Elephas maximus indicus: one gene and its partner. The protein of the gene in region 2 interacts with the protein of the main gene of each other region in a biochemical or structural test. Links are inferred from orthologs where the notes say so. Each region holds a gene or a part of one and is shown on either strand. Other genes may lie near its edges.

Region 1 (7,451 bases), on a different chromosome or scaffold from region 2:
CCCAAAACTCCAATCTCCAGTGACATTTTTGTTAAATGTGCCTGGATAACTCTCTCTCCCTAACTTGTGATCACAAGGAAGCCTACCTTCCATCATCGTCACCTATCATAGGTGTATATTGTTTTAAATGTTGCCTGAGTATGTGTCTTTTGATCTAGAATTGTGACTTCTTAGGCCAGTAAAACCATTCTCATTGTTTTCCACTGCTGCCCCCATTCACAGCTAGGACAACCTCATGCACAGTGTTATGAGGCCATCAACCTATTCTATTTTTAATAATGGGAATGTGAGTGTAAGTTCTTTATGTCTTTCCCATTGATTTCTTTCCCAGAGGTCCTGTTAGAACCTTTTCACTTGTCTAAGTTCTACCTGTCCTAAAGCCAGCCTATGTTCTTTTTACCTGTACAAAGTCTTCCCTGATAGCTCAAGCTCAAGGGAATAACTCTCTTTTTAGTTATTACAACAGTTAATGTCTGAAAAATTTATTGGAAATTATATGTGTAAAGCACTTAGCATTTAATATCACTATTACTTTTGATATTACAGGCCTTAGCTTTTAAGCAATTAACTGGTTTTTCACAGGATAGGAAATCACAGCACATGAAACCATGTAATTAGATTGTGAAGCGAGTCCTTTCATATCTGACACGAGGGGTAGGTAAGACAAAGAAGCAGATGCACAAGAAGAAAACGGTCCCAAAAGTAGAGTGAGAAAAAAGTTTCTTGACGCTCTGTGGCTGTATTGGCAAAGGGAACAATCAAGCAGTCTTGAGTCTATCACTTTCTCAGGATGAGACTTAGTTCAAACCTTGTCCCCTCTCTGGTCCTCATTCTCCACATCTAAGAAAATGAGGCAGAAAGATTCGCTTCACTTGTGTCGGCAGGAATCAATTCAACTAAAAGATGGATTTTAATGGGTACCATTCTGGAGCTCTCTCTAGCTTTATATATCATTACCCTCCCCTCTGAACCCTCCTCACCATCCTGATTTTCTCTCTCTCTGACTTTCTTCCTCCCCCTCTTTCTCCATTCCTTCCTTTTTTCCTCCCTCCCTAACTCCCTCCCTTCCTTCTTCCTTTTCTTTTTAGTTCTATCAGCATCGCTTAACTAAAGAACGTCTTAAAAGCTATTTCAGTTTCTTTTCTTCGGCCGTTCCTGTAAGATGACACATCTCTAGTTTACTCTAAACTAGAATTAAAGAAATTGAAGAGCTGCTACACACACACACACACACACACAAAGGTGCCCTAGAATATCTTCAGGAGTATTATACTTAGAAGTAGCTGAGCCTATTAAATTATGGTTTTTAAAAAATTCACTACCTAAATAAAATGTTAACAACTCTGTTTTCTTTCACTTTTACGGAGACGTGAGCTTCAAAGCTTCATTTACATTTCTCAGCTTGATGACACTCAAGAAATGGATCCAAAGCCCTTTAAAGCCGTGTTATTTTTAACGTTTGAAAAGTTATAAAGCATTTGGCCTGAATCAAGTGAAGAAACACAAAACAAATTCTGCGGGATTGTAATACTGTGAAAACTGGGTGCTATGAAGTAACGAAGGCAAGATTTTTCACTTTAGCAAGGTGGGGGAGGGGAGGTGTTACGTTCTTAAAAAAAAAGTTCAGGAACGTTTTAAATGAAGGTTTTGTTTTTAAGAACAGGTAGTTCTTAAATTACCTGTTCTTAAAAACAAAACCTTCATTTAAAACGTTCCTGAACATATATGGTACCAGTGCAGTGTTTTCAATAACATACATACTAGTGAGTTCTCTCTAAACATCAATTTTCTAAAATATGAAGAAACTTCCTCCTTCATCTCATCTTCTATTTCTGGATACAAATCTAAACATTTACTTCAAACAAAGTAAGTGTGCAGAGACAGCTTGACCCTGAACACCGTGTACCTTACAGTTGCTTGCAGTTTTAGTATTCTGAGGAATCTTTGAGGGAACAGGTGTTAAAAACATTTCTGCTTTCTGCCTCTGTGGTCCACGTTTCTTCTGACATTCTAAGCTCATCAGAGCGGTGGCTTGTGAAACTAGCTTTCAGTTCGCCTTGTGGGCTTTAACGTTGAATGCCCAACACTTTAAGGAGTTTGGGCTTTCCTGCTCCTTCGTTGAGAGACTTTGGCCTCTGAAACTTAGCTCTTTGTTAAAAACTCTTGGCAATGGATGAGGCCTCAGAAACCTCAGGAACATTTAGATTGAGTGTATGGAACACTGAAATCTGGTCTCAAGGCCTTGAATACATGATAACAAGTTGTGTAAACATGTCAGATTCCCTTATTGCTTCCTTCCTTGATTACAAGTCTCTGTCTCTAAAGGCCAATAGCTCCCCTCTACTCCTTTGGCTCATGTGAACCTAGAAAGTTTTGAGATAATGGTTCCACAAATGTTTTTCTGAAAAAGCCAGACTGTTTCAGAGAATAAAGTTCCTGTTTCTTTTCTCCCTTTCTCTCCATGATACATGTATGTTGTTTTTGCTCTCAGCGAATCCATTAGTTTGTTCTCAAGGCTCTTTCTGGGGGAAACAACAAAAATCAGAAAGGAAAGGCGAGGAAAAGGAGGCCACTTACCGTTCTCTGAACTACCAAAACCATAATGGTTGCCACAGCAAAGATGAGACACAGTGCCAGGGTGGCTGTGATGAAGTAGAAGTAACTCCGGCTCGTGGTTCCCAAGTGGCTGGCGACGGAGCCTGCTGGCACATGCATGGCTGTGTCTTGAGAAGGGGCCACGCTGTTGAGTGCTTGCTGCAGCCCAGGGTCCATTCTTTATATAGTCTCCCCCACATCACACCTTATCTCTCCTCATCTGAGTCGGTTCTTGGCCCATCTCTGTTCCAAGAAGGATTCTCCCCCTGCATCCTGGATCATGTGACTTGGAAAAAAACCTTCACCGGCTGCCTTGTGAAGAAACTCTTCTCTGGGGGCGTAAGGCAAAAGGCAGCAGCAAGGGTGGGGGAGAGGTTCATTTTTCATCGCCAGGGATTAATTTGAGTGCAGAGAAACTGTAGCTACAGAGAAGGTAGCTGATGTCAGAGGGCGCGTAGGAAAATGACGGTTTCCCTCCCTGTGTGTGTGTGTGTGGTGTGTGTGTGCACGAAGCAACTTCTGTTTCACTTAGACTCAGCCACAAAACGCCTTCCTGCTTGAGAAGCTGTACATTCTCCTCAGCGAGGCCTGCTGCTCGGAAGACCTCCTCAGAGAAGGTCTCTTTGCTGGGGCTGAGGAAGGCCAGGTTCCTTGGACTGCAGTAGGATGACTCAGAAGGGTTCAGTTTGAGAATGTTAACTCCTGGGGAGAACTGGAAACACTTCAAGATATTTGAGAAGGAAAAGCCCTCAGATGTGGAGATTTATCCAAAGGGAGGCAAGCTCCTGGCAGTTTGAAATTTGGGAACAGGTTAAAAGATACTGTCACAGAGCAGGAATCTAGAAACCTTGCTTCTGAACAAAAACTCCCGCAGAGTGTTTTGGAATCTGTTAAACTTGTAGATAAACCGGGGCCTGCCATAAAGCTCATAAAAAGGGGAAGGAATTAGCAGTGGGGGTGAAAGTGGGGAGGTGGTATGGTGTGGAATGTGGTGTGTGTGTGTATGTGGTGTGTATTCTGTGTGGTGTATGCATGTGGTGTACGTGTGGTGTATATGTGGTGCGTGTGTGGTGTATGTGTGGTGTATGTATGTGGTTATATGTGGTGTATGTATGTGGTATATGTGTGGTGTACGTGTGGCTGGTATTATGTAGTGTATGTGTGGTGTATATGTGGTATATGTGTGGTGTATATGTGGTGTATGTGTGGTGTATGTGTGGTGTATATGTGGTGTATGTGTGGTGTATATGTGGTGTATGTGTGGTGTGTGGTGTATGTGTGTGGTGTATGTGTGATTTATGTATGTGGTATATGTGTGGTGTACATGTGGCTGGTATGTATGTAGTGTATGTGTGGTATATATGTGGTGTATGTGTGGTGTATATGTGGTGTATGTGTGGTGTGTGGTGTGTGTGTGGTGTATGTGTGATGTATATATGTGGTGTATGTGTGGTGTATGTATGTGTTATATGTGTTGTGTACGTGTGGCTGGTATTATGTAGTGTATGTGTGGTGTATGTGTGGTGTATGTATGTGGTATATGTGTGGTGTACGTGTGGCTGGTATGTATGTAGTGTATGAGTGGTGTATATGTGGTGTATGTGTGGTGTATATGTGGTGTATGTGTGGTGTATATGTGGTGTATATGTGGTGTATGTGTGTGGTGTACGTGTGGCTGGTATGTATGTAGTGTATGTGTGGTGTATGTATGTGGTATATGTGTGGCTGGTATGTATGTAGTGTATGTGTAGTGTATGTGTGAGGTATGTATGTGGTGTGTGGTTGTGGTGTGTGTGTTGTGCATGTATGTGATGTGTATGTGTGTGCATGTGACTACCACAAATGAACCTCTAGCATAGTGCTAGGAGCTTTACATATATTGCTTTACTCCCTCCTCACCTCCAGCCTCTGAGGCAGATTACATGTTTCCGTTTACAGATGGGAAAAATTGAGGCTCAGAGAGGATACAAACTGCCAGAAACAGTTACACAGTCACAAATGCTGTTCAGTGAAGGAGCTTGGGCACACATCCTCACCGGCTTGGCCAAAGTCCATGCCGTGTTATTCAATCTGAAAACCTGACACCTGGCCTTTCTCAGCCCTATTTCTTATTAGCCTTGGGTCTTTGAACAAGTACTTATGCCCCTCCTTTTTCTCATGGGTAAAATGGGCTAAGGATAGCAGCGTTGACAGTCACCGTGAAGATGAAATGAGATAATGATGTAAAAGTGCTTTGTAAATGGGAATAGACTTGGCAGATGGTGTTAGACCATTCCTGTTAAACACCTCAAGTGGTCCTCTGGACCAAGCCTGGAATTTAGATAGATCCAATAGATAGATTCTCTGGGGAACAGAGCTGTGCCACATATTTGTGGTTACTAATGACTGGATTAGGAATCTCCCTGGTTGACTCTCTATTTCAAAACACCATTTATTTAAAATGTGAATCACTGCCTAGTTGCTGTTTCCAGATGTGCCTGTTTGGAGACTTCATTTGGTATCACCCTGGGAAGTAGCAGATAATTTTTAGTGCTCCTCCCTTTTCTGCTTAATTTTTGGCTACATACATCTCTGAGAGCCATAGCGATCCCAGACCTGCCAAAAGAAATGTTCTGTATCCAAAACCAAGCTTGGATTATTACCACTGCCACCCCCACATAGATCCTAAACTTCTGAGTATCACCTGAGTTAGGTCAGGCTCTAGGAGTTGGTCTGGATGTCTCTTCCCAGTGAATCCATAAAGTCATGGACCCTGGAGATGGAAGGGACATCAAAAAGTGAATTGTTTTCTTTGGCTAAGTAGAATGGTAGGCAGCATACCCATTTGACAGTTGAGGAAGTTGAGATCCCCTTGATCCCAAGTTGGGCTTGGTGTTGGAAGAAGTGGGTGTACACGTTCATTTGGTCTGGTGATTGGAATGAGTAAGCCAGTATTTTCTGGGGGGAGGGGTGCATACTGACTGATTTGGGGAGAAGGCCAAGTCCTCTGGTGGACATGGGCAGTGAGTGAGTTGTGGGGGCTCTTTAATCTGCCCAGAGCTGCTGAGAACAGGCCGTTTCCTCGGCCCTCTGTGTTCAGCCTCTTTGATGAAAGTGGAAAACTTCTAATTATTGAATGGAAGCTGTGGGTGTTGAAAAATAAAGATGCTTTGCTTCAAGTGCTGGTCTTCCTGAAGGCCCAGGGGGCTGAGAAGGGCAGTGGAAAAAAATGTTTGTCTTACAGTTACCAGTTTTGCATACAGTGTAATGTCCTAGGAGGGAAGAGCTGACAAGGGGGAAAATCGCCCTTTGTTTTTACTCAGAACCTTCTGAGGAGTTGAGATTTTCAGATCAGTTTGTTTCTCTAGCAGCTTCTGGGCCAGATTTCATCCCTGTCCATGTGCACTGCTCTACTGATAAACCTTCGATGGTTCCCTATTTCATGCTCTTGCTGGTTTAAACTCCTCTCTGCGTTTCAAGCTCTTCCAGAATCTAGTCTGACCATCTTAGTAGGTCTCATCCCCTGTGCTAACTGGCTTCTTTCTCTCTTCTATTCAGTTACCCAACGTAAGAGTGGAAAGAGCCGTTACAGAGTATCTCGTTGAATGGCTTTCAAATCCTTTCTGGAAGTGAAACTGGATGGAGAGTTTAAAAATGTAAGAAAGTGGAGCTGCTCTGGCTGAAAGAAAGGTGGGACAACAAGAAGAGCTGGGTCCCACCTGCTCAGTCACCTTCTTCTGGCCTAGGGCCATTTGATGATGGAATAAAATTGGAAAACTGATGTAATCCAAACTGCTAATTTCTCAAATCCGGAAACGAGGACACAGGAATGAGAATGGCCTGAGGGAGTGCACACTGGCAGGAATAGAGACAGGCTTAGAAGACTCCTGTGGACATTCTCAGCCCTATTCTGCTAATACTTCCCCTGCGTCCAAGCCTCCTCTCATGTTTTCCTCACCCTTCCATAGCTTCAGATCCTTCCTGTCCTTCCAAGCTCTGCCCACCTGCTTCACCTCCTCCAGGACAGCCTGTCCAGATCTCTTGAGTCCACCAACATCCTCTTTCCAGAACATTCTATCTCCATGCCACATTATCTCACATCTTATGGAATTATCTACTTGTCTTGACTTATAGCTCTCAAGTGTGTGAATATGTGTGAATTTGCCTTCTGTGTGAGAGTCAGAGTCCCACTGAGGGCGGTCTGCATTTTCCCAGTCTTCTGAATACCTGTTTTACTTGGTGTTAGGCCTATGGTCAACCCTCAACAAATGTTTGTCTTAACTTTGTGTTTATGAAAAGAGAAAATTCTAGAAGAGTGGTTTATACAAAGGAATTGTGTGATGGCATGTTTGCCTCTTCTCATCTGCCCCCATTGCCCCATCCTTCTCCAGATGGCTTACCTGGCTGCCCACTGGCCTTTGCATTCCCACATGGCCCTGTGAGCATGACCACCAGCTTCCTGTCAGCCTGTAATTAGTTGCTGAGGTGTGGCTGCAGCACCTGAGGCTCAGTGGACAAACAGTCTCTTATTTCTTCAACTGGGAACACCATTTTGAAGATATGAAGAGGAACCAGTTGTAGGGACACTCATTTTTTCCCCTTATAAGGGACTGCGAGAGCGCTAGCATGCTACTAGTAGTTCTCAAAGCATGGTTCCTGGACCAGGAGCGTCAGCACCGCCTAGGGAATTGGTAGAACTGCAAATTATCAGACCCCACCCCAGACCTACTGAATCAGAGGCTCAGGCTGGGGCCTAGCAATCTGTTTTAACAAGTGCCCTAGGGAATTCTGATGCCTGAAACCATTTGAAAATTATAAGTTTAAGGAAAAAAAAAACAAAACTATCATTAGTTTAAGGAAAAAAACTATCTAACTTC
Region 2 (7,741 bases):
AGTGTGTGTGTGTGTGTGTGTGTGTGTGTGTCCTCCACGCGCACTGGAGGAAATCTTGGTGTACCCTTAGTACTGCTGGGAAGATGATGGGGGAATTCTCCTAACTGCTGAGTTCACCATTTGGTTCTGGAATGCCGTGGGCTTGCCCCTACGCCCTACTTGTGGGTGAAAACGGTGGAGTGTTGAGGGGAAGCCTCATGGTAATAAATTCTTCTCTCAGAATTTGCAAAAGTCATCCTAGATAACATTGTAAAAGCCACACTTGGGGAGGCTGTGATACAAAGCGTCACAGGCTAAATGTCTTCCTCAGAAGTTTCCATGCCAGCAAGTAGGCATTCTTGCTCTCCGCTGCCAGCCACAAAATGATGCTTTGTACAATCAAAAAGAAGGATTTAAAAGTCAGAGATTCAAGCCCTGGCTTGTGTTTTGCTTTGTTGTTGTTTGAGGGGTTTTATCTGTTTGTTTGTAGTAATAAGCTTCTCAGACTTTTATGGGAAAAACAGAAGTGGAAAAAGGTTTGGATGGTCAGAGGAAGTACTGTGCTGGGCAGGCAGTCCCCTCCCCCACAGATCCCCCCCCCCCCACCGCCACATTCCCAATGCCAAGAAATGACCCAGGAGCTGGGCCCTCAGGAGAGATGCTTACCCCTCTAGTAGGCGGGAAATGCAAATTAAAACAAGAAGGATAGAGTCCTTTTCACAGTCACATTGACAAAAATACAACCTCTGATAAGATCAAACGTTGGTTAGGATGTGGGGAAGTCGTTACCCTCATGTACTGCTGGTGGGAGGGCAAATTGGTTACCCTGGAAGGCAATCCAGCAATATCTTTTCATTTGGATACATATTTACCCTGTAACCTCAATATCCCACTTCTTCACATCTTCCCTGGGAAAGAATCACACACATTCCCAAAAGCTTCCATATAGGGCTGTACATTGCAAGAGCAATAAAAACAGAAGGAAAAAAAAAAAAAAGGAGTACGAACCTTATTACCCATTGAGAAGGAACATAAATAATTAAATTATGGAGCACCCACTTGGTAGAATATTAGACAGCATTTTAAAAGACAAGTGGAGGATCTATAATTATCAGCGTGGAAAATTCTCCAAGACATACTGTAGACATTGTGAAAATCAAATGAAGAAACATAGGTACCATATAGTATTGTATGTGGAAAACCCTATATATTTCTGCTAAAAAAATATAAAGATATGGACATACATTTGTATAGGGTTGCAATGAAACACATCAAATCAATGAGGGCTGTTACTTCTATGAAGGAATTGGGATGAGGAAATGTCAAAAGAACTTAGTTTTATCTGTAGTGTTCATAGTTTTTGCTTTGAGGATATATTCATACATTCTTTGGAGAATATATAGAGGTTTCACTCTGTAGAAAAGAAGCATGCTAGGTTCCACCACCAAACACTAGCAAAGCCTGCCTGGCCCTCTCACTTTTTTGGTTCCCCTTCTCTCCCCAAGATCTTGGCACCCCAAACTCTCACCTCCCCCGGGGTCATGAGCAAAGGGTTTGGGGAAGTAGGAAGGGTGTTCTTTAGTCAGTGTCTCTGCCTTGTAAGGATGTCAGCTGCTCACTCTGTTGAGGGTGTCTCACGTTGCCCGTTGAGATGGAATTGGGGAGGTGAGTGGACCTAGGAGGGAGGTTTGGTGTACCTGCAGTATGGGCCAGGAAGATGATGGGGGAATTCTACCTCTGCTGAGTTCACCATTGTGTCTGGAATGCTTGTTCCCTTTCCTGCCTACATCCTCCTTCCGTCTGCCTGAAGCCCATGGGCCCTCTCTTTCCTGATTTCAGATTTGGAGGAATAGGACTAAGTTCCAAGTGTGGGTCGCTCTCTACCTGTAGGGATTAGAGGGGGAGCTAGACCCTGCTCCCCCCAAGCGGACTGCTATTGCTCTGTCCTTTGCCCCCTGTACCTGTTTTCAGCAGGCATCCACCAACACCCTCTATGTGCTACCCCAGGGTCCACCAGGATATTATGGTGGCCCATGGGCTTCTCTCTGCCCTTCAGACCCTGCACACAGCACTGACAGCAGTAGATGACGTGACCAGGTCCACATTGTGTTAATCTGAGCTCTCCCCCCAATGCCTGGTTTGGTGCTGGCCACCAGTAAGTGCTCAGTTTTCCTATAAAGAAGCCCCAAACTCGGTGGTGGGACTTCCCACCAAAGGAAGTCAGTACTGACCTTTCTAAATGGTCAGATGCCCACCACGTGCTCCAGGACAGGAATCCTCACATGGTTGGTAGGCAGGACTGGGGCCTGGGGGCCCGACTCTGGCTGGTCCAGCATCTTCACCTCTGCTTCTCACCCACACGCAACTCTCCCTCCCTTACTAGACCCTCCCAACCCCCACCCTCCCTCAGGGCGAAGAGCTGGAAGAATCAGGCAGAGGAACAGAGCCCAGGCACCAACCTTTTCTGACCACGGGAGGCCCCACCTGCCTGCCCGAGACCCCACGAGCCTCACCTGATCAGCCCCGGACCCCGACGGGGCCACTCACCGAGCGGGATAAACAGCGTCTGTCTGGTGCCACGCAGTGCCCCCAGCTCAATTAATGTTGAATGAATGATCGCCAGCGCCTGGCGACGGCAGGGAGGAGGAGCCCCCACTAGCCCTTCAGTCAACCACCCACCTGTGAGAACTTGTAGATTCCACCACCCTTCTTGTCACTTGCGCCCCCTCACCCCAGTTGGGCGGGAATGGGGTGAAGAGCTTCCCTGCCCCTTCCCCTGCGCCCCCACGCGTGTTGTCTGGGGCTCAGGGTACAGGGTGAGAAGGAGGCGGCTCTGGATCGCTAGCGCTCCCCCCGCCCCCAACTCCCGCTCCAGCTCCAGTCACCTCTTACCGTCGGGGGGGCTCGGAGAGCCCGGAGGAGCAGCAGTCCCAGCACAGCACGGAAGGCGTGCATCCCGGCGACCGGAGGAGGGCTCCCCAGCCGGGGAGACTGGGAAGCGCCCTAAACCCACGTGCGGTCCCCACAGCTCGTAGACGCGCGCTGTAGACCTCAGGCGCCGGGGGTTGGGAGCTCACCTCCCTCAGCACCGCACGCACATAGTGAATCACTTCAAAAGTGTGTGCTCCTTCCCCAAGGGTTTGGCCCCAACTCTTCCCTCCCCCATCACCCCGAGGCTCGCTGGGTACCTAGAGCGGTTTCCAGGAACATTGCTAATAACAAATACGAAAAATCCGCCAGGGGTTGGCGGTGTGGGGAGCAAAAACGTGCAGAGATGACTGAGGGACAGGCTACCGGGAGCACACTTGTAGGTTGCGCTTTGAATGGCCCGCCCCGGATTTGACGACTGAATGAGTCCCCTGGCACCAGGGAGGAGGCCTGGAGTTTGCTGCCCTGTCCTGGCTGGTCGGAGGAACATAGAAGGCAGCTCCCCGCAGGAGGTGTGGAGCTCAAAGGAGACTAGGAGACCGTGATCTGATCCCAAAGTCTCTACTCCCACCCCATGAAAAGTGAGACCTGAGCAGGTTCCTGCTCCTGACACTCTGATCAAGCCAACCTTCTTCCTCCAACTGTAGGTTCTTTGGAAGAAACAGCTGGAGTCAGGAGACTCACAGAGAAAGCCAACACCATCCACACACCCCCCTATTCGTAAATATTTGCTGTAAAGTGAATCAAGGGATGGATGAAGGATGGATAGATGGATGGATGGATGGATAGGTATGGATGGACTGATAGGTAGGTGGGTGAGTGGGTAGAAAGAAGGAAGGAAGGAAGGAAGGAAGGAAGGAAGGAAGGAAGGAAGGAAGGAAGGAAGGAAGGAAGGAAGGAAGGAAGGAAGGAAGGAAGGAAGGAAGGAAGGAAGGAAGGAAGGAAGGAAGGAAGGAAGGAAGGAAGGAAGGAAAGAAGGAAGGGAGGGAGGGAGGGAGGGAGGGAGGGAGGGAGGGAGGGAGGGAGGGAGGGAGGGAGGGTGGGTGGGTGGATGGGTGGATGGGTGGTTGGACTGACTGTTAAAAACATGGATGGACAGAAGAACAGCGTATGTGGTTATCAATCCACAGATGTTTCTCCGCCCGCTAAGAGTTTTCAGCTCAAAGGAGGAGGCTGGCACTCTGACATAGAAAAAAGAAACAATAAATTGCTGAGGCTGCTTATGTACAACCAAAAACCTCATAGGATTTAGTTCCTTGGTTTGAAGGCTTAGGGTCATGGTTTCCTGGAACATCCCAGTTAATTGGCCTGATAACATGTTTAGTGCCTCTAGTTCATTGCAAGCAGCCATTTAAGGCATGACAATTGGTCTGTATTTGCCTGGAGCCACAGAGGAAGAAGGAGAGTCAGGAATAGGAGGATACGGAATGTGTGGCTAATTGCCTCCATGACTAACTGCCTCTTTGGCCATAAGACCAGAAGAAATGGATGGAACCCAGCTACCATTACTGAACTTTTTGATTAAAAATTCTATAGAAGAATCTTTATCAAAAGGGGAAAATACAGAACAGAATTTTAAATTCTTATGGACTCCAGACTTTCTGGAGCCATGGAGGCTGGATGAACCCCTGAAACTGTTGTGCCGAGATAATCTTTAAACCTGAAACAAAAAACATCCCCTAACATCTTCCTAAACCAAACAATAGTTTAGCTTAACTAGCAAAAAATGTCTGCCTTGAACATTATGCTTTTTTAAGGACTATCTATATGGAATCAAATTGACAACAGCAACTCAAAAGATGAGACAGAAAACTTAGGGGCAGTGGGTTTATATTAATGAGGAAGGAACAACTCAGAAAAGGAGGGTGAGAATAGTTGCACAACCTGAAGAATGTAATCAATGTCTCTGAAATGTACGTATAGAAACTGTTGAATTGGTGTGTGTTTTGCTGTGTATGTTCTTAACAACAACAAAATAAATTTTAAAAAAGAAAGAATACAAGCCTCATTCTAATTAGGTTCTCATTTGTGCGGGGGATGATTTTCTCCGCCAGAGCTTTCTCATCCCAGAGGTTCTCTTTTGACTCCTTTCATTCAGTAAATGTTTATTGAGCAGCCACTGGGTAGGCCCAAGACAATGGTTATTTTGCCACTTTTTTGTTTGTTTTTTTCAGATGAGGAAACCAGGGCTCAGAAACAGGCAGGCAGCCCTAGGTTCTCTAACTAAAGTTGGACAGGTTTTTTCCTATGAGCCCAGAAAGACCCAAGGACCCTCAGGCTTTTACATCTCAGCCTGTCCTGTAGAAGGCCAGGCCCCTATCTTCTGGAAATAACCCCATCTTCACCAGCAATAACCTCCAGCCAGAACGTTCCCAACAAAAATCTCAACTCTTGATCAACCCACACCCAATCTTCCTTGGGCTCCTGGATTCCACTTGGAAAAATTGCCCCTCTTATGCCCCCTCCCAGGAGATCCACTTCTGAGCTCTCCCCTGGATGCCCCAGGCCCAGTGTCGTAGGATGTTTGAGCTGGGACTATGTTAAATAAGTAAGTTATGGGAGTAGCCTGCCTAGGATATTCCCAAAGCCAGGCAGGGGTGGGAAGAACCCAGGATATATGTTTCCCAGTCTAGAGCTTTCCACAATACAAGAGCTGGTGTTTTGAATAAATAAATACTTGTTAAACACACATACAACCAAACAACATCAAAACAGTTTGCATGAGGGAAAATACAAGTAAAAATCAATTACAACTTTTGAAAGTTCAACCTTTCTAGTAATCAACAAAGATGCAAATTAAGGCAAACTTCAGGAACTTTTTAGATTTATTTAATCTTTTTTTTTGCTTTATAAAAATGATTTCTGTAAAATCGAGCCCCACAGTTGCGGTGAAAACGGAGTATTCATTCATACTCTGCTGGTAAATTTTACAGTTCTTTTCAGAAAGCAATAAGACAATTCTTAGAAAAAGCTAAAAAAAAAAAAAAAAAGTTATTTCTGACTTGTTGCCCAGTAATTTCATCTCAGTGAAAAGACACTAAGGAAATAGTTGAATCAGAAAAAGAAAACTATAAACACAGTGCTGTTTCCCAAAACATTACTTATAAGAGCAAAATTTTGGAAACATCCTGAGTGTCACAATAGAGAATGGTTAAATAAATCATGATACATCTATTTAATGGGGTATTACACATCCATTAAAAATTAAAGTTATATAAGCATAGAATTATCCTATGACCCAGAAATTCTCCTCCTAAGTATATACCCAAAAGTACAGATACTTGTATATCAGTGTTCATTAGAACGCTGTTTACAATAGCCCAAAGGTAGAAGTAACCTATACGTCCACCAACAGATGAATGGGTAAATAAAAAGGAGTACATAGGTTCAATGAGCTATTTATTACTCAACCATGAAGAGAAATGGAGTCCTGATGCATGCTGCAACAGGAATGAACCTTGAAAACATGATGCTGAGTGGAATAAGTCAGTCAACAAAGGGACAAATTTGTATATCCCACTTACATGAAATATTTAAAATAGGCAAGTATATAGAGATCAAAGTTGATTAGTGGTTACCAGAGGTGGGCAGGAAGGAGGGGAACAGGTGGACTCACTGCTTAGGGGACACTGGGCTTCTGTTAAGGATGATGAAAATTTTGGAAATGAATAATGGTGATGGTTGAACACTTGATAGACATAATAAATGTCACTGAATTGTACATGGAAGAATGTTGAAATCGCTAATGTTTTGTTTTATATATATATATATATATACCACAAAAAAAAAATTTTTAGAGATGCCGCGGAAACCCATCTCTTCCATGGGCTTCCAGAGGCACCCTCCTAAACCCACCAACCCACCACTCTGTATAGAACCCTGGTGGGCCAGGGACATGGCTCATTACCCAAAAAATATTATTTGCTTAATAGTAGTAATAATAGAGCTACCTTTGAGTGTTTGCTTTGTGCCAAGAGTTCTGAGGCATAGATTCCTTGGATCTTCATGGAAACTCCCTGAAGCAGATCCTATTTTTGTACCCATTTTGCAGGTGAGAAACTGAGGCACACAGACATAAAGCCACTTAGCCAGGTCACAAAAATCCAACGGTGCCCAGGACCCTCCACAGCCTGGCTCAGACCAACTTCTCTAGCTTTGCTTTAGCTTCTTTGCCTTCTCTCTGTTCCAAAACAAAAAACCAGCTGCCATCAAGTTGATTCCAACTCATGGCGACCCCTTGTATGTCAGAGTAGAACTGTGCTCCATAGGGTTTTCAATGGCTGTGATCCTTCAGAAGTAGATGGCTAGGCCTTTCCTCTGGGTAGATTTGAACTGCCAATCTTTCAGTTAGCTGCCGAGCACTTAAATGTTGGCACCACCCAGGGACTCCTACCTCTGCTCTGCTCCAGCCCTCCCCAACATGCCAGGCTTTCTCGCCTCTCCTTGCTTTTGCTCCTGCTGGTCCCTCCGCTTGGAACCCAGTCATACTTCTATTTCTCTTCATCACCTGCCCCCAGGCCACCGCCTCTTGGTTGCTTTCCTGGCACTGCCCTTCCCCCCTCCCCAGCCATCTTTCCAGCTAGAAAGGCGGTTGGTTTCTGCTGTTGTCTGTGCCTCAATTCTAGAACTGAGCTCGGCCTGTCATAATGGTAATGAGTGGCTCATGTGTCCCTCTGCCCCAGGAAACTGTGGGCTTCTGGAGAAGTGGCATGGGGCTGCTGGCCTGCCCATATGCAGGTGATGCGCGTGCTGGTCTGCATGTGCCCTGTCTGTGCATGCCCCCCCAGTGCCGTTCACAGTGCCCGGGCTGCCCCCCCATGCTGAGCACAGTACC

What was found.
Region 1: the proteins of TNFRSF8 (region 2) and TNFSF8 form a complex in vitro, tested with the Homo sapiens proteins (2 studies listed by BioGRID and IntAct). The link is inferred for Elephas maximus indicus from reciprocal best matches to the Homo sapiens genes TNFRSF8 and TNFSF8.

What each region holds. Positions count from the first base shown.
Region 1 is NC_064827.1:64,198,240-64,205,690, forward strand, and holds the start of TNFSF8 (tumor necrosis factor ligand superfamily member 8), read right to left. Parts: upstream 3,028-7,451; 5' UTR 2,773-3,027; coding exon 2,578-2,772; intron 1-2,577.
Region 2 is NC_064821.1:51,915,280-51,923,020, reverse strand, and holds the start of TNFRSF8 (tumor necrosis factor receptor superfamily member 8), read right to left. Parts: upstream 3,063-7,741; 5' UTR 2,935-3,062; coding exon 2,872-2,934; intron 1-2,871. UniProt on the Homo sapiens protein: Receptor for TNFSF8/CD30L. May play a role in the regulation of cellular growth and transformation of activated lymphoblasts. Regulates gene expression through activation of NF-kappa-B.